Linked DNA regions of Arabidopsis thaliana. The protein of the gene in region 1 interacts with the protein of each later gene in a pairwise test. Each region holds a gene or a part of one and is shown in the gene's direction. Other genes may lie near its edges. The genes, in order: AT5G11710 and AT3G11130.

What was found.
Region 2: the proteins of AT5G11710 (region 1) and AT3G11130 interact in binary tests that used the Arabidopsis thaliana proteins (3 or more experiments, as listed by UniProt).

Annotation. Positions count from the first base shown.
Region 1 is NC_003076.8:3,767,707-3,777,162, forward strand, and holds AT5G11710 (ENTH/VHS family protein), read left to right. Parts: upstream 1-4,694; 5' UTR 4,695-4,759; intron 4,760-4,863; exon of another isoform or gene 4,864-4,885; intron 4,886-4,911; exon of another isoform or gene 4,912-5,001; 5' UTR 5,002-5,274; coding exon 5,275-5,315; intron 5,316-5,406; coding exon 5,407-5,458; intron 5,459-5,845; coding exon 5,846-5,925; intron 5,926-6,013; coding exon 6,014-6,092; intron 6,093-6,180; coding exon 6,181-6,264; intron 6,265-6,351; coding exon 6,352-6,497; intron 6,498-6,583; coding exon 6,584-6,802; intron 6,803-7,017; coding exon 7,018-7,151; intron 7,152-7,283; coding exon 7,284-7,474; intron 7,475-7,669; coding exon 7,670-8,075; intron 8,076-8,359; coding exon 8,360-8,610; 3' UTR 8,611-8,956; downstream 8,957-9,456. Other genes in the region: AT5G11700 (ephrin type-B receptor), read right to left, coding at 46-163, 235-334, 431-486, 716-841, 940-1,071, 1,278-1,397, 1,648-1,856, 1,994-2,109 and 1 more; AT5G11720 (Glycosyl hydrolases family 31 protein), read left to right, coding at 9,134-9,366. UniProt on the Arabidopsis thaliana protein: May have a role in transport via clathrin-coated vesicles from the trans-Golgi network to endosomes. Stimulates clathrin assembly. Does not seem to bind to phospholipids.
Region 2 is NC_003074.8:3,487,025-3,494,993, reverse strand, and holds the start of AT3G11130 (Clathrin, heavy chain), read left to right. Parts: upstream 1-2,928; 5' UTR 2,929-3,326; coding exon 3,327-3,371; intron 3,372-3,706; coding exon 3,707-3,911; intron 3,912-4,450; coding exon 4,451-4,539; intron 4,540-4,639; coding exon 4,640-4,718; intron 4,719-4,796; coding exon 4,797-4,924; intron 4,925-5,023; coding exon 5,024-5,122; intron 5,123-5,204; coding exon 5,205-5,313; intron 5,314-5,399; coding exon 5,400-5,479; intron 5,480-5,564; coding exon 5,565-5,792; intron 5,793-5,878; coding exon 5,879-5,944; intron 5,945-6,544; coding exon 6,545-6,661; intron 6,662-6,768; coding exon 6,769-6,966; intron 6,967-7,050; coding exon 7,051-7,167; intron 7,168-7,266; coding exon 7,267-7,326; intron 7,327-7,528; coding exon 7,529-7,615; intron 7,616-7,714; coding exon 7,715-7,798; intron 7,799-7,884; coding exon 7,885-7,969. Other genes in the region: AT3G11150 (2-oxoglutarate (2OG) and Fe(II)-dependent oxygenase superfamily protein), read left to right, coding at 395-1,180, 1,679-2,008. UniProt on the Arabidopsis thaliana protein: Clathrin is the major protein of the polyhedral coat of coated pits and vesicles. Mediates endocytosis and is required for a correct polar distribution of PIN auxin transporters.

The DNA of each region.
Region 1 (9,456 bases):
ATGCGCGATCAAAACAAAATCCAAATAAAAAGTAGTTATTGTTACCCATTCCACTGGCACTAATCTCTCCAGAGGGTTCAAGGGTTACAGTTTTTGCCCGGTGGAAATGAACTACTGATCCTTTAATGAAACCTTCGACGAGAATATCCTCAACTCGGCATATCTAGAAAGAAAGAAATTATCAGAGTTTTCAAGTTAGAGCATACAATACAAGTTAAAGAATGGTTGAAATACCTGTAGAGTAAAGGACAGAGATGCATTCACATTGCAATCCTCTGGAGGATTCAGTAGTTCATAAGGGCAATCTTGTCGTTCACAATAGAGCTTTGGTGTACTGCAACGGATATGAGTTCAAATATTGTTAGCTTTTATATCCGAAGAATATTGCACACAAACTAACCATAAATATGACATTTTTCTTCAAACTCACACAGCATCTCTGGACGCATTCAGTAGAGGAGCACGCAAGATAGACCCAGGCCCAACCTTCAATTGCCAGGAAAAAAAATCATTAACTCCTACATGGCCAAATCAAGTACCTTTCTATATTTGTTATACAACAGCCAATATGGCCTTTAAAGGAGACCAATAGTCACATTATGCCTATATTCATTACATTTTCAGAGCTATAAACACAAACTATTTTTGATTCACAAAATATAAGATGTCAACTAATGCAGGATTGTCACCAAACTAACAAAAGGAAACCCCTTACATAAATCCGGTAAAACAGTGACAAAACAAGCCGTTGTGCTTCAATTGAATCCCCTGGTCCAGTTAGATTCAAGAAACCTTGTCCATGGACTCCAAGATTTGCATTTGACCGAATGACAGATGATCCCTATATTTGGATAGAGAGGTCACACACAAAAATTAGATGCGACGCTATGTCACAAATTACTTTTAAGGAGAAAAACTATGACATGAGTTTGTGAGTACCCTAAGAACGAATAAATTGCTAGCCTCAAGCATGGAAGTTGAAACAGTTGTATCTCCTCCTCCTCCATCTAAATGCAATTCTGAGTTCCACATCAAGAACATCTTGACAGTCATGCGTAATGCCCCGTAAACCTGATGCATACCAATAAACATAAACATGATGAACAAGTGATTAACATGAATACCAAAACAGTACATGGAGTGTGAAGAACGGCCAGGTAAGCCAAGAGTGAAGCAGATCTTAGCAACAGAAAGAAATATTCATATCTGACGTAGACAGACACAATGCTGTTGCATCCCCATTTTCTAAAAAGGTAGAGAATCAGGATAATACTCACCTTGATGGTAGAATCACTCATTAAGAGTTCTTCTGCCAACAACTCAAATACTGATGTACCATAATGAGCTAATCCGAAGCTCAAAACACCACCGCACAACAAACTAATTTGTCCTTGAACCTACATATTGAGTTCTGTTTGAGTACTCCAATTCATCAATTTTGCAAGATAATATGCTGAAAAACAAGAGTTCCACTAAATACCTTTTAAGAAAACATATATAGAGGCGACACAACAGACACTAGATATACAAAATAAAAGATAGTAATCTTTGTAAATACGATCACAAATAGTGCTAACATAAACACTGCAAGGAGAAAGATCAGTAAGCCTACAAAGCCCATGTACTGGATATTTATTTTCTAAATACCTGGACACGACTCCATAACAGAGGACAAGTTGCGCGTGCTTTATCCTGAATATAAACATTGGTCCAAAGTGGCTGGAATGGAAATTCTAAGAGAAGCGTATACGTGTCTGTTGTCTGATTGTAGTTGCTAACGAAAAGGCTTCGGGGAACAGCATCATATAGAGTTCCAGCAGCACCCGAGTTATCTGGACATCCGATACTGTATCCGCCTGTGTTTAGGAAGATAAGATCAGTTTACATGATTGTTAATGTTAGGCAAGCACGTATTGGTTATACTGGCTCAAAACAAAAACCGTGAATCAAATGAGCAAATGTAAACAAAATAACCAAGTAAAGAGAATCGAACCATGCACAAAAATCTTCGGGTCATCATGCCTACTAAAAATATCGACAGATACTCTTCCACCACCCCCACCACCATAACCACTCCCACCACATGCACTGATCTTTCCAATTCCAGTCCTGCACTTCAAATAACAGCAAAGCAGAGGATGCTAGCTAAAATCAATTTACCAAGAATCTAAGAAGACAAAAGGCTCACTACCAACCTTTTAAAATAAGCAAAGAAAATGAGTTGTTTCATGTGTATCATACAACAGCAGACAACACATTTTGGAGAGATATGAGCAAGATCTAAATTCTTTCGAAATATATATTGTCATAAATAAGATTCATGCTTAATCACATACTTCCAATTGAGAACAGAAACTCACATTTCTAGAATATTATTATGAAACGAAAGTGCAATTTTGTATCATTTCTAGAAACTCAACTTGTCCTAAGGTAAGATTATGATCTTAAGAAAATATCAGGACCAAGCAAGTACTGTAAATTTTGCATTCCCTGCTGACTATAAGTAATTTAAAATATATGCATTTAATCTAATTAACAGCTAGTGAAAGAGAGCATAGAAACGAAAGTTGATTACATCTTGTATGCCTTGATGTAGATGCTGCCACCAGATCCACCACCGCCTTTGGCTCCTCCATAGCCTCCGTTTGCCAAAAGGCTTCCGTTAACATCCAGAAGCTGCAGAATATCCATCTTCACTTTCCCACCTCCTCCTCCTCCATAATCAATCTCTCTACTAGTTGACCCTCCTTTACTACCATAGCTCCACGGCTTCTGCAGAGTCGACCAAGAGTATGCATCACCTCCCCACACATCTTCAGGTAGCTTCTTAGTGTCAGTCAAACAACAAGCGCCTCTACCACCATGTCCACCACCAGCACCATCAATCCCCTGCGGTGTCCCACTGGTCTGTGGCGGAGGGCTCCCAGCTAACCCCGTCGTGTTCACCGCCGACCCATTAGCAAAGCTAGCATTACCAGCTGTAAGCTCCAATGTCCCAGCGACAATTGTAGATTCCGCTCCCAAAGAGAAGTTTCCAGAAACATTGATAGCTATAGAACAACCAGGGATCGGGCAGTGAAACCTAACACCAGGCAGGATGATAAAATTCCCCTTCCCAGCTATATACACATCGTGCGTAAGGTTCAAATCGGCGACAATCTTACAAGTAGTATCCAAAAACCCAACGCCGCCGAGATCCTCGCTACAAGATACCGACGGTCCATGCGGTGGTGGCGGTGGCGGAGCAGGCGGAGAGTAGTCCTGATGGAAAAGTAACGACTCTGAATCTGAGTCCAAATCGGAATCAGAACCCGATTTCGGTTCCACAATGGTAAATCGATAGCTTGAACTAGGGTTTACGGCCAAAACCGCAAGAGCGACCAAGACGAAGACGCAGCAAAATTGAAATCGAGCCATCCACTAGTATCAAGAGTCATCACAGACGAAGTCTACTAAGGTTTTCGATTCAACCCCAATTCGGATCATTGAGAAGAATAAACTGGAAAAACCAACCTCAGAGACACAAATTCACAAACAAACCTTCTCTTCTAAATCTCCAACACACAACAACACTTATGCATACATCAACATACGCATGTATACGTATTTTAGTCGTCTCGTTGAAGAAGAAAAGCGCATAAACCTTCACCGAAAAATGGGGTCTTAGAGAGAGAAGTGGTGCTTTTCCTTTCTCGGAGGAGAGAGAAAGAGAGGGAAGGGAGCTTCCAAGAAGAAAAGAAAACACAGGTTGGAACGGAGAGTAGTTACGATCTGGTACGTGCAAGTTCACCGTAATCAGGTAAATCTTAACAAATCATACTACGCCACGTCATTCTTTAGATTGCTCTAAAAGGAAATACTACTGTGCATCGTGGTTCACATGGAACTGGATGTGGCAGCGGTATCCTAATTTATTTTGACATCGAATTAAATTAGGACACGTGTCTAACTACGTTTAATTACTCGCTTTGCTGTTGGATATTAAGGGGTTAATGACTTGGTTTTTAAAATTTTTAAAACGTCAGGAGTTACGTTCGGACATTGAAAGGTGTTAAGAATTGGGCTTTGATGGGCCCTGTTTGTGAAGGAGTTTGATATGGACGCGCCAAGATTTGAGCGTGAGTGTTTTTTGTTTGATATTGAGAAACAGAATGCGTGTGACCTGGACGAAGTAAAAACAAAAATTAAACAAATCTGGCTGGCCCAATAGAAAACTAGCAGCATTATCAACACCAACATTTTAATCCATCACACCAATCTTTCAATCACTTCGATTTTCACGTTCTAAATGCAAAATGGTATTTTTTTTCTAATGTCAATGTATGGTTCACCCAAAATGATAAGGTACTGTTGTGTATGCTAATTTCTAAACAACTTTATAGCTTCAAAGCATATGAAATCCAAAATTAGATTTTAGTGATTAGACTACATGTATTGGGGACACTCTATGTTCAAAGTAAGAGATTGTGCATGGTCAGCAAAAACTAATTTAAACTAGTGGGATACGTGATGTATAATCTGATATTACGTGGTTTATTGGTTGGTACCAGAGTTAAAAACAAATGCAATTTGACTCGTATATGACTCATCATGCTGACTTCTTCAATAAGACAATTGTAGTAGATATATTTAATATAGAAAAATGGGTATATAATGTTATAAACTTAATCTTATCTGACCAACAATATTCAACTGGATTATATTTTTTCCCCCAGAAAAGGATTTTATTGCATTAAACTTAAAACGTTTACAAAGTAAGGTATAGAAGAGAGTAATATGATCTTCACTAACAACATTCATTACTGGAAAAATTATATATATAATCCATTCGGAGCCATTTCGTTGAAGTGCTTTAAAGTATTCAACTAAATTATTTCGTGAAGTGGTTCGGATAAATTATATTTGGATAATATTTCGAAGAATTTACCTTAGGTCTTAAAACTCGTTGTGTTATTTACTGAAACGAAATGGATTCAATTTTTTTTTGTTGTATACATGTAGGTTATTGAACAACCCACCAATAGCCGTGACTATCGGAGACTGCGGATCAGGCTACGGTCAGGTCGAATTTACAGTCATTTGACGCCTTTAAAAACTAATTACGCGAGAAAATCGGTTCTAGCTGCTAACTTTTTATTTGTTGTTGCCTTTCATTGAAAAAAAAAAAACTCATAATACAAAGACGAGCCATCTCTGATTAGATCTACACTTCTCCTCGCACCAAAATTTTGCCAGTTTTCGTTCCTTTGTTCATAACATTTTCGCGGATTCCAAATGGATTTCATGAAGGTCTTCGATCAAACTGTTCGAGAGATGTGGGTTTTCCGTTTTCTCTATCGATCCAAATCCGTAGATCTTTGGTTTTATATATTTTTTCGATTGATCTCGATTCGTTTTCAATTACAGAAAAAGGGAGGTGAATCTGAAAGTTTTGAAGGTCCCTGAGATGGAGCAAAAGGTGAATTTATTTGATTCGTATCCATATGTGCAAATTGTATCCATGATTACTAGGCAAAATGATCGAAAACTTTCTATAGATTTAGCTATTGCACGAAAATAAAAATTGCTAGATCGAAAATCGACACTAATCCTGAATATTTGAGCTGGATTTGTTATGTTTCTGTGTTCGGATGCTGAGTTTCTTCACAGTTGCTATTTCCTAGAGATTAGATCCATCTTTGGGACTCACAAATATCGAGTTCATATTTCTATAGAAGATAAGCTTGAGCCGTCATGTAAACTTAAATTGGCGGCAATGTTTCATGGATTTTGAGTTTGATCATCTCTTCAAATTCAGTATTATGTGATACCCTTTCATAATTATATATGGCTATGTTTAGTACAGGTATTGGATGCTACAGATAATGAGCCTTGGGGTCCCCATGGTACTGCATTGGCAGAGATAGCTCAGGCCACGAAGAAATTGTAATCTCTGGCTTCATTTTCGTGATTCTACTTGGAAATATTTTTTTGATTTGCTATTGCTTAACATGTGCACTTGCCATATGTTTAGCTCGGAGTGCCAGATGGTTATGAGTGTTTTGTGGACTAGACTAAGTGAGACAGGAAAAGATTGGCGATATGTCTACAAGGTGAGTATCTTCTTGACGTTTTCCTACTGTATTTGGAAGTTTATAGTTTTGTTGTGTCCTGAGGTTTTTCTATTTCATTTCCTGCCAGGCATTGGCTGTTATTGATTATCTGATTTCGAATGGATCAGAACGAGCGGTTGATGAGATTATTGAGCATACTTACCAAATATCTGTCAGTTTATTTCTCTTTACATATTGATATGCAGTTCTCTCTAAGATTGTGTTTTTTTTACTGACTAGATCTTTGTCATCCATGTAGTCACTCACAAGTTTTGAGTATGTTGAACCAAATGGGAAAGATGTGGGAATCAACGTGAGAAAGAAGGCGGAAAACATAGTCGCTCTTTTAAATAATAAAGAGAAAATCTCAGAAATCAGAGACAAAGCAGTAGCAAATCGTAACAAGTTAGTTTTTACACAAGTGGAAATAATTGGTCTGACCGTTCTTCTTTCTACTTTGCCTTAAATCGTTTTTTTCTGCCTCCAATTAGGTATGTTGGCCTCTCATCAACGGGAATAACATATAAATCTGGTTCCTCAGCTTCATTTGGTGGTAGTTTTCAAAGTGGTTCAAGCAATTTTGACAGCTACAAGGATAGAGATTCCAGAGAAGACAAGAATGACTACGAGTCTTTTCAAAAGTCAAGACGTGGTGTTAAAACTGAGGAGCAAAGCTACACTTCTAAGAAGAGTTTTTCACGCTATGGCAGGTTTATGTCAACCCCATTCATTTTCTGATGTTCGTTACATATTTTGGGTAGACTATGGGAGTTTTCTTTTCCAAAAGAGGCTGCTTGTTTGCTTTTCTTTTCTTATTTCTGGTTTGGTTTATGACTCATTAGTCTCATTTTGTGTACCATTTTTCTGATGTCGAGTAAATTAATCGTGCAATCTTGCTCACTCGATTCCAATTCTGAATGTGCAGCACGGACCATGACAATCTATCCAGTGGTAAAAAGTCACCCGATTCTGCCAAACATAGGTCATATGTATCTGCAGCTCCTTCAAACAACGATGATGATTTTGATGATTTTGATCCACGGGGAACTTCCAGTAATAGTATGTTTCTCTCTACGACTGCTGAGTTTGCAGATTGTTTATCATTCATTCGGGAGAAAGTTGGTTTGATAAACATGTATTTATGATAGACATATGTGCATGTCTTACCTGTATGGTTTTTATTTTTGGCAGAGCCATCCACAGGCAGTGCCAACCAAGTGGACCTTTTTGGAGGAGATCTGATTGGTGACTTCTTGGATTCTGGGCCAACAGAAACATCTTCCACCAACAACAACGAGAACTTTCAAGAGGCGGACTTGTTTGCTGATGCAGCTTTTGTATCAGCCTCGGCTCAGGGAGCTGAATTTGGGTCACAGACACAGGTGGTGACTTCTTTCATCTAAGCTAGTATGCAGCTTTTAACAATGGAAAATTCCCTTATTAACTGTCCAGTTATGTGATGCAATTTCTCGCTAATTGACAAAAACGTTTGTCTGTTGAAGTCGTTCTTTACACCTCACAATTACTTGTGCTGTTGAATCGTTGACTGATGTGTTTCCGCATTTCTGTTTCTACAGAAACAAGTTGATCTTTTCTCTGCGTCTGAACCTTCTGTCACAGTTTCTTCAGCTCCTCCGACGGTTGATCTCTTTGCATCTTCTGAATCAGTTGTAAGCCCAGAAGCCAAGATATCAATACCTGAGTCTATGGCTACTCCCAACATTGTTGACCCATTTGCTGCAGTTCCTATGGATAATTTTGATGGATCAGATCCTTTTGGTGCCTTCACTTCCCACTCGGCTTCAGTTTCTACAGGTCCACAAGCTCCAAGTGTACATGGGAGTGCAACAAACACCACAAGCCCGCTGTCTTTCGCAGACTCGAAGCCACAACATTTGCAAAAGAAAGATCCTTTCCAGGTGAAATCAGGAATTTGGGCAGATTCGCTGAGCCGTGGACTGATTGATCTCAATATAACTGCTCGTAAGTCGTTACTTCCTCTTCTATCGAGAACTCTCTCATTTGATCTGCACTATAAGAAAAAAATGTTTTATTTTCTCATTAGATGCAGTCAAACCCAAAAGGTATAGTTGTTCGATTACATTCCAACTATTTTTCAAACAGTACATTCTACAAATCAAAATTCTTAGCTCACATAAAGTTCCAGTACCATGTAGCTTGTTTGCATGGTGTCACGACAAAGAAATTGTTGGGTTTTAGTTTCTAAGTTCGATTTTAGTCCTGATTATTATTTTCCCTGTAACCAGCCAAAAAAGCTTCTCTAGCTGATGTGGGTGTTGTGGGGGATCTGAGCAATGAAGATGGGAACAAAGCATCTGCTGCATCGTACTACTCAGGCTGGTCCATGGGTGCAGGATCCGGGCTTGGTAAAACTGGCCTATACAGTACACAGCAGCAGCAGCAACAACAACAACAACAACAAGCACCTGATATCTCAGACGATTTCTTCTCCAGCCTCAGTAACCAAAGGTACCAATCTGGTGGCTTTAAGCAGTGAAATTGTCTGTGATTTGGTGTTGAGATGAAAAGGCATATCAAGTTTGATTCTACATTCCATACTGGAAATGTAAGTTTTTTTAATGGGTTTGTTGTTCTTGCACTTCATTCATGGGACAATCTGGTCGGTGACTGATGTGCCATTGTTGTTGTGGCGTTTACTTTGGGTTTAAATGAGAGAGAGAAGAATTGTCTTTATGTTTTTTTTGATAAGAGAGTACTTTTATTATTGGTTTAAAGTTTCGATTTGTTCATAGAACAAAAGTATATGTATCTCTTCCCACTCAACAAATATTTTTTTTATCGCGTGTGATTCTTAATCCGAAAGAGACTCCAACTTTCTTCTCAGTTGTTTTATTCACATTCATATTGACCAAGTTCATTCTTAGTGATTATGTTAACACTAATCTTATCTTACACAATTTAGTTCTCCGGTCACGAATGATTAAAATATAGAATAGTCTTATCTACAAAGAAAATGAGTAGTTGTGACAAAAAAAAATAGTCCAACACCAAAATAAAAAATGTCATCTCTTCACTGGTTTCCCAATATCTTCATCGTTGTCGTCGTCTTCTTCTCCTTGAGAAGTTCACAAGTTGTACTAGAAGAAGAAGAATCCACAGTCGTTGGATACGGCTACGTCGTTAGATCAGTGGGCGTTGATTCTAACCGGCAAGTTTTGACGGCGAAGCTTGATCTGATAAAACCATCGTCCGTTTACGCACCAGATATTAAATCGCTTAATCTTCATGTCAGGTCATTATAATCTCCTCTCTCAAACCAATCTCCAAAAAAACTAAATTTAGCAAGTTTTTCAAACTAATTTAAAATGTGCGATTATATAGG
Region 2 (7,969 bases), on another chromosome or scaffold:
AAACAAATTTCCGTAATTAATCATTCCTCTATGTTGTTAGATAACAATTTTCTTAACAAAATTGCTAAAATCTGTAATGGCAAACCCACATATAAATAATATTTGCCGCCTCTAGTTTAAACAAGCATGTAAAAACGTGTTATCGGAAAAAATAACATAATAATTGTAAAATAAATATGCAAAACTTATGTCATTGAAAGAAAAAAAACATGATAAATGTACTTGGTGAATGGTGATATTGTTTTTAATTTTTACAAATAAGATGGTAGAAAATTAGGTTATACATAATCCCGCACGTGTGAGTAAAGCCTTATATATTCCATGCGTACACGCAAGTTATACATATGTTTTCACATATACGCTCTGCCTCTTCCAAAGTCACATCCATCTTTCAATGGCTTTCTCTTCAGCTCACCTCAACCACCACCAACCTTTGATCAAGCACGGTGGAGCCACGGCGGCGCCTCCTCCGACCCCGTCATGCTCACATCTCAACACCACCAGCAAATCGGAGACAGCAGTTGACGCTCTCTCCAGTCTTTTCCACCGTCTCCCTCCTTTGCTTTCACTCCCCAACCGTCGCTCCATCCCTTCTCTTCCGATGGTATCTCTCTCCGCCGGAGATAGACTTGAATGGGACGATCTTATCTCCGCCGTGACTGATTTCGGCTATTTCCAACTCATTAACGATGACTCCGATATTCTTTTCCCTCCTGGGATCGCTGAAGCAGCCGAGTCTGACTCACTCTCGCTCTTAGAGCTCAGTGAAGAGAAGAAGGAATCATCGTTTCCGAAGAAATGGCCGCTAGGCTACGAAGCCGATGCTGAAACGCCATCGTTTTGCCTTGACGCCGACTGTTCAACCGACTCGAGCGAGTTAAATCTGAGTTCGCTCCGTGAGTTCACTCGGACTCTAGAGAAAGTTGGACTGAAGACGGTAGAGATGCTGGCGAATGCACTTGGGTTTGGATATGATTCAACCCGGTTTAATACTCTGATGTGGGTTAACCAAGGTGTTCCTGATGATGAACCGGAGGTAACCAACGGATTTTATCCTTTTGTTGTTTGTTTACAGTATCAGATAAGGGAACAGAAGTATTGTTTGCTAACCGAGTCTGGTTGGGTGTCCGTTTTACCCCGAGTTGACTCGGTTCTTGTGACGTTGGGTGACATTGCTCAGGTTAGTTCTCTTTTGCTTTTGACAATTGACAGAACACATATATCTCTTTTATTTATCTATAATTAATTGGTTAGTTGTCTTCCTTAAATAATTATCAAATTATCATCCTTTGTAATGGAACTTTATTCCACTATACCGTTAACTGGCTGTTTTAATGTATTTTAAACATTATCCAAAATAAATGTTTTCCAACGCATCGTTCAAAAAGAGAACAAGAATTTGGATATTTCCGATATTTATTGTTGACAACAACAACAATTGTGGAGCATAACCGGGGAATGTGTTTTCACTTTTCGTTTGAAACAGATTTATGGCATTGGGAAAGAAATAAGAATTTGGAAATTTCCGATATTTAAATACTTATACACATCACATCGCAATTGTACTTAGTGTCCTATAGAATTCAACAATTCTTTTTTTTTTAGGTCAAAACCTAACAGCTTTCTACAATATAGTTTTCAACTTTTGAACAGCTAACAAACAACTTAAAATTGGCAGGTTTGGAGAAATGGAGAGGTCAAAAGAGTGAAATATCGACCAGTGTTGTGTTCAGGACAAAAAGATGGTCCAGTAAAGTGTGTAACAATGACATTGATGCTTACACTTCCCATGGACAGTATGGTTTCATCATTGAAGGATATGATCAGTGACGGCGACAAAGAAGAAGAGTATGCAGAGGAGGAGGAAGAAGATGGAGGAGCAAGAAGTGATGAGAGAAGGGCATTTAGGCCTTTTAGTTTCAAGGAGTACGCATGGAGAGTGTACCAAGAACGTCTCTTCTTCAGGGATCCACTTGACAGATACAGAATCAAATCTTTAAAAGATTGACGAACCGATGTTTGATTTGTTTGTTTCTTTCTTGGGTTGAATTGGTACTATAGTTCTTGTTGTTACTTTTTTTCCCCCATAAAATCTTTTGATTTTCAGCGGATTGTTAGCATTTTAGCATTGAGATATTTTTGTTTTTGTTCGATTCAGTTCAGAGAATGTTCTATTTTGATAGTCACTCCATCATTCAACTAATTTTTTCATATATACTCATATCAAAACTGTCACTATTTCAAAATCAAACTTTTAGGTTACACCAATGACTCTATCACACTAAACTCAACTCCTAGATTTTATATAGAAGAATCTATGACTTTGATGATGTACTTTAAAACTGAGTCTTTTGAGATCATAACCAAATTCTACTTCATAACTTTTGTTTTCCAATGTTGATTATTTGTTATAATTAGAAGGTGACACAAACGCTTATAGCATCCTGTTTTTGAAAATGAGGAAATACAGTGTTGGCTTTTAATCTCTCATTGAGGCAGAATATCAATGAATGACTTCAAATCTACGTATACATGTTTACTTATTTAGTGATCCATATTGGTGTTGCTCTTTAATTTTCTTGTGAGAATGAATTATATACATCAAAATTGATTATATCATTTAATTCGAGTTAAAATTATAAGTAATACAATCTTCACTAAACACTAATTAAATCGACGTAAATTTCTTATACGATTTTTTCATGCAACACTTAAATCGACATAAATTTAAATATTTTGGTCTTCATACCCTAATTTTGATAAGATATAATAGAAAATTTCGTATATCTTTTTTTTTTTTTGGTAAAAAGTTTTTTTTTTTTTGTTTCATCTCCATATTTAGAAAATTTATTTCAAACTTCGTTCTCGTTTGTGTTCATCTTAATTTTTAACCATGATTGAGTCATTGACCATTGCTCAAAACATACGCATAAAATTCCCAAAAAGTAGTGTGTGTCGTGACAAAACCCGACCCGTCGATTTACGCGGTTTGAAACTCGACCCGAATACTATCCGAACCCGTAACTTTGGCAAAAGCACATCGTACAGCTCAGGCACTTGTAGCACGTCGTCTCTCCTTTGGTTTCTCTCCTTATATTCGACGAGTGACTCCGATTGGATCGCTATTTCGTCATTTCTCACTTTCCAAAAAGAAAAAAACGAATCTCTCTCCACCATCATCACCTTTCTCCTTCACTTGCCTCAGATCTGGCTGCGATTTCAAATCTTCCTTAGTTTCTCTCGCATCGCTCGGCCGTTGACGGTCCCGTCCTTTCCGTGGATCTGATTCTGGCCCCGGATTCTCTCGCCGCGATCTGAGGTCAAACATGGCGGCTGCTAACGCGCCCATCATTATGAAGGAGGTCCTAACGGTGAGTTCTCTGTTTTTAAATCTCCGGGAATCGAGCTAAAATTTTGGACGATTAACATGTTTCTATAGTTGTAGTCTCTGATTTCTATCGATTTGGTTCTGCTCACACTGTTATATGATTGATTCAAGTTTCATTCTGTTCTCAATTCTACCCGATCGTTGAGATCAAGTTCTCTGATCAGATTTTCTCTGCGGACGCTCAGATCTGTGTTATCTGAATGTATATAGTCCTTAGTTTTAAGTTATTGTGTTGCGCAATGTGCTTATCTACTCGGATCTTGTAACTAAGTTAATGAACTATGCCAATTGATTACTTTTGTTTTGGAAATTTTCCAGCTTCCGAGCGTTGGGATCGGTCAACAGTTCATCACCTTTACAAATGTTACTATGGAGTCTGATAAGTACATATGTGTACGAGAGACGGCACCGCAGAACAGTGTTGTAATTATCGATATGAATATGCCGATGCAGCCTTTAAGGAGGCCTATAACTGCTGATTCTGCTCTTATGAACCCAAACTCGAGGATCCTTGCCTTAAAAGGTATTACACTGTTTCCTTCGATCGCATTATCACTTATAACACCCATAAGATTCTCCTTTTGAAGTGTATGATCAGTTATAAGACCCATAAGTGGTTCCTATTAAAGTTTTCTCCAGAACTACCATTGATAGCTTCTCCTTCATTTTGTTAACTGTACATATGCTATTTATTACGGATAGGATGTTTTGATTTATTTGAAGTTTAAATGACTCTGTCCATGTTGTGATGCGTCACTTGATAGAAAACCTATTTTTATTAAAGTAGTATGGAAGTGTAACTACACTCTTCGAGTTTATGTTGTAGTCCTATACTCTTTTTCTGGATTTGGGGTGATAGCATGTTTAATGCTGTAGAAAACATCAGTATAGCGCTCTCTGTTTTCCAACACGTGTTATATTTCTCGTGGCAGTGTTGTGTCTCAAGCTTAGTGTAGTTAAACTAGAAATTTTGGTTTGTACTGGATGTTTCCTTGTATAAGCTATTACTTATTTCTTCCTTAATTTGTTGTTAACTTTTTCTTAAATTCGTATCGTATATAGCTCAAGTTCCAGGAACTACTCAGGATCATCTACAGATATTTAACATTGAAGCAAAGGCAAAGTTGAAGTCACATCAGATGCCTGAGCAGGTGAATTTTGAAGCAAACAAATTGTAACCCGATTATCTTTCATGTTGTACTCTTCAGACAGACTCTGATTTTACTGGTCTGAATTTTTTGGATATTATAGGTTGCTTTTTGGAAGTGGATCACACCTAAGATGCTGGGACTGGTCACACAAACTTCTGTGTATCATTGGTCAATTGAAGGTTTTATATCTTTAACTTACTGTCAGCTTCTTCATATCATGTATATGTTGTTTCTCATTTTTGCTTCGATATTTCCAGGTGATTCTGAGCCAGTTAAGATGTTTGATAGAACGGCTAATTTGGCAAACAATCAAATTATAAACTATAAGTGCTCTCCTAATGAGAAGTGGTTGGTCTTGATTGGAATTGCCCCTGGCTCTCCTGAGGTAGGGTTCCTGCACCACGTATTAGGTTGAATTAAGACATCATAACGGCAGTCATGTTGTATATTTTTGACGGAATCTTGTCATTATTATCCTCTGTAGAGACCACAATTGGTGAAAGGAAATATGCAGCTTTTCTCTGTGGATCAACAGCGGAGCCAGGCCCTTGAAGCACATGCTGCATCTTTTGCTCAGTTTAAGGTAAACTATGTGATACCTTTGCTACTTCATTCCATGGTCGGATCTTGAACTGTAGTATGACAAGCGACATTATTATTGATAGGTCCCTGGGAATGAGAATCCTTCGATTCTTATATCATTTGCAAGCAAGAGCTTTAATGCTGGGCAGATAACATCAAAGCTGCATGTTATTGAACTTGGTGCCCAACCAGGTTAGCTTAAACTACTGCTCTATATTTTCATGGTTATTGTTAGTTGGTATTAGTCTGATGTTTAAAGGTGGGCGGCTTTTTTTCAGGGAAACCATCATTTACAAAAAAGCAGGCAGATCTCTTTTTCCCCCCAGATTTTGCTGATGATTTTCCTGTGGCCATGCAGGTTTGTAGTTGCATTAGCTGTTCAATTAACTTCAGTAAGTTTCTTGTGAAAAATTCATGACACCGACTTCTCTTTCTCCCAACAGGTCTCTCACAAGTTTAACTTGATTTATGTCATCACCAAGCTTGGCCTGCTGTTTGTATATGATCTAGAGACAGCTTCTGCTATCTACAGAAATCGGATAAGTCCGGACCCAATTTTCTTAACGTCTGAAGCTTCCTCAGTTGGGGGTTTCTATGCCATTAATAGGCGAGGACAAGTTCTTTTGGCAACAGTAAATGAGGCCACCATAATACCTTTTATTAGTGGTCAAGTATGTTCAACTTTTACTTTGTTCTTCTCTATATAATCTATCTATTCATCATGACATGCTAAGAAATCTATGCCTTTATATTACAGTTGAACAATTTGGAACTTGCTGTCAATCTTGCTAAAAGAGGAAACCTCCCTGGTGCAGAAAATCTGGTATGTGATAATTATCTTGGATCAGATGTGTGGATCTATTTTCTTGGTGAAGTCATTATTGTGCCAATTTGACGAAAAAGGTCATTCTGATAGAAACAATAATGTAGAAAATTAGAAATCGAGATTTGACGCTTCCTCCGTTTCAATATACAAGTGCATTTTTGACATTTTCAAGCAAATGAAAGAATAATTAAATGTTACATGATATCCTAGAAGACAATTGTCTCTTGGATTTAAATTCTATTTCACATTGTTAATTAATATTTAAATAGGGGTAAATAGATAAATGTATTACAAAATTTACATTGAATCGTAAGATGACACTTTGAAACGGAGGGTGTACATGTTAATGTTAAAATTCTACAAAAAACTAAGTGAATTTGATGATAAACCTCTTCCAAACTCCCAAGACATCTTATACCGATAGAGACTAAAGATCCATAACCTATTTAAACCATGGTTACTTGAAAGTAAACACAGTTAAACCCTACTAACCTAAAAACACTTAGTAAATATCATAAACTCCTTAGACCTCTAAACCCATTGCTCGAATTACATTTCTTAATGCAAAGTTCCTCATATTCAATTTTGATGTTACAGGTTGTCCAGCGGTTCCAAGAGTTATTTGCTCAAACAAAGTACAAGGAGGCTGCTGAGCTTGCTGCTGAATCTCCTCAGGGCATTCTACGGACACCTGATACGGTGGCCAAATTCCAGGTATATGTTCCATATTCAAGCAAAGAATCCTCTGTGAACATGTTGTCTATAATGTATGTTTGTAACACCAGTCTGAAACTACAACATCACACTTTACAATTTTGCAGAGTGTTCCTGTACAAGCAGGGCAAACTCCTCCATTGTTACAGTATTTTGGGACCCTTTTGACTAGAGGGAAGCTCAATTCATATGAGTCTTTGGAACTATCTCGGCTTGTTGTGAATCAAAACAAAAAGAACCTCTTGGAAAACTGGTTGGCAGAGGATAAGTTAGAATGCAGTGAAGAACTCGGAGACCTTGTCAAAGTAATCTTAAAATGACCATTTTCATTTAAAGTGTCTCCTATGGGCTTCTTTAGTATGCTGTAACGGTAATATTTTCTGATTCAGACTGTGGATAATGACCTTGCTCTAAAAATATACATCAAAGCTAGAGCTACTCCAAAAGTCGTTGCAGCTTTTGCAGAGCGAAGGGAGTTTGACAAAATATTGATTTATTCAAAGCAGGTAAACAATTAAGTTTTAAAGTTTGCCCCCTCCGTTGTTATGTTTACCCTAAAGGTCATTGTGCTCAAGAGGTACCATTGTTTTATGTTGTGACTCTAGGTTGGGTACACACCTGATTACATGTTTCTTCTGCAAACGATACTCCGTACGGATCCTCAGGTTAGTTTGCTGCACTTTTGATACTTTGCAACATATTAAACTGTGGAAGGACTGGTTTACTAGATTCTTGTTCCGTAATCACAAGAAGAGTCATAAATTTTGGCCTGCTGTTGTTTATCAAGCAACTAAGCTTTTGCCCTGTAAAAGATCAATAGTCTTTTTTTTCTGCTAATTATCTTCTTTTTTTTCCTGCTAATTGCAGGGAGCAGTAAATTTTGCTTTAATGATGTCCCAAATGGAAGGAGGTTGTCCAGTTGACTACAACACTATCACTGATCTTTTCCTTCAGGTGAACACGTAGAATATACTGTGTACATAAAATTGTATCTCATTACTTGTTTCACAAGAGAGCTATCATGTGCTAATGTACTTACTTTTGCATATTCAGAGAAATCTGATCCGTGAAGCGACTGCTTTCCTTCTGGATGTTCTGAAGCCAAATTTACCCGAGCATGCTTTTCTGCAAACTAAGGTTGAAAAGAGTTGCCACCTTTTACTTCTCTGTGCTTTCCCTACTCACCTTCCTTTCTTAGACCTTTTAGTGCACTCTCAACACAGGTTTTGGAGATCAATTTGGTAACCTTTCCTAATGTGGCTGATGCAATCTTAGCAAATGGGATGTTCAGCCATTATGACCGGCCTC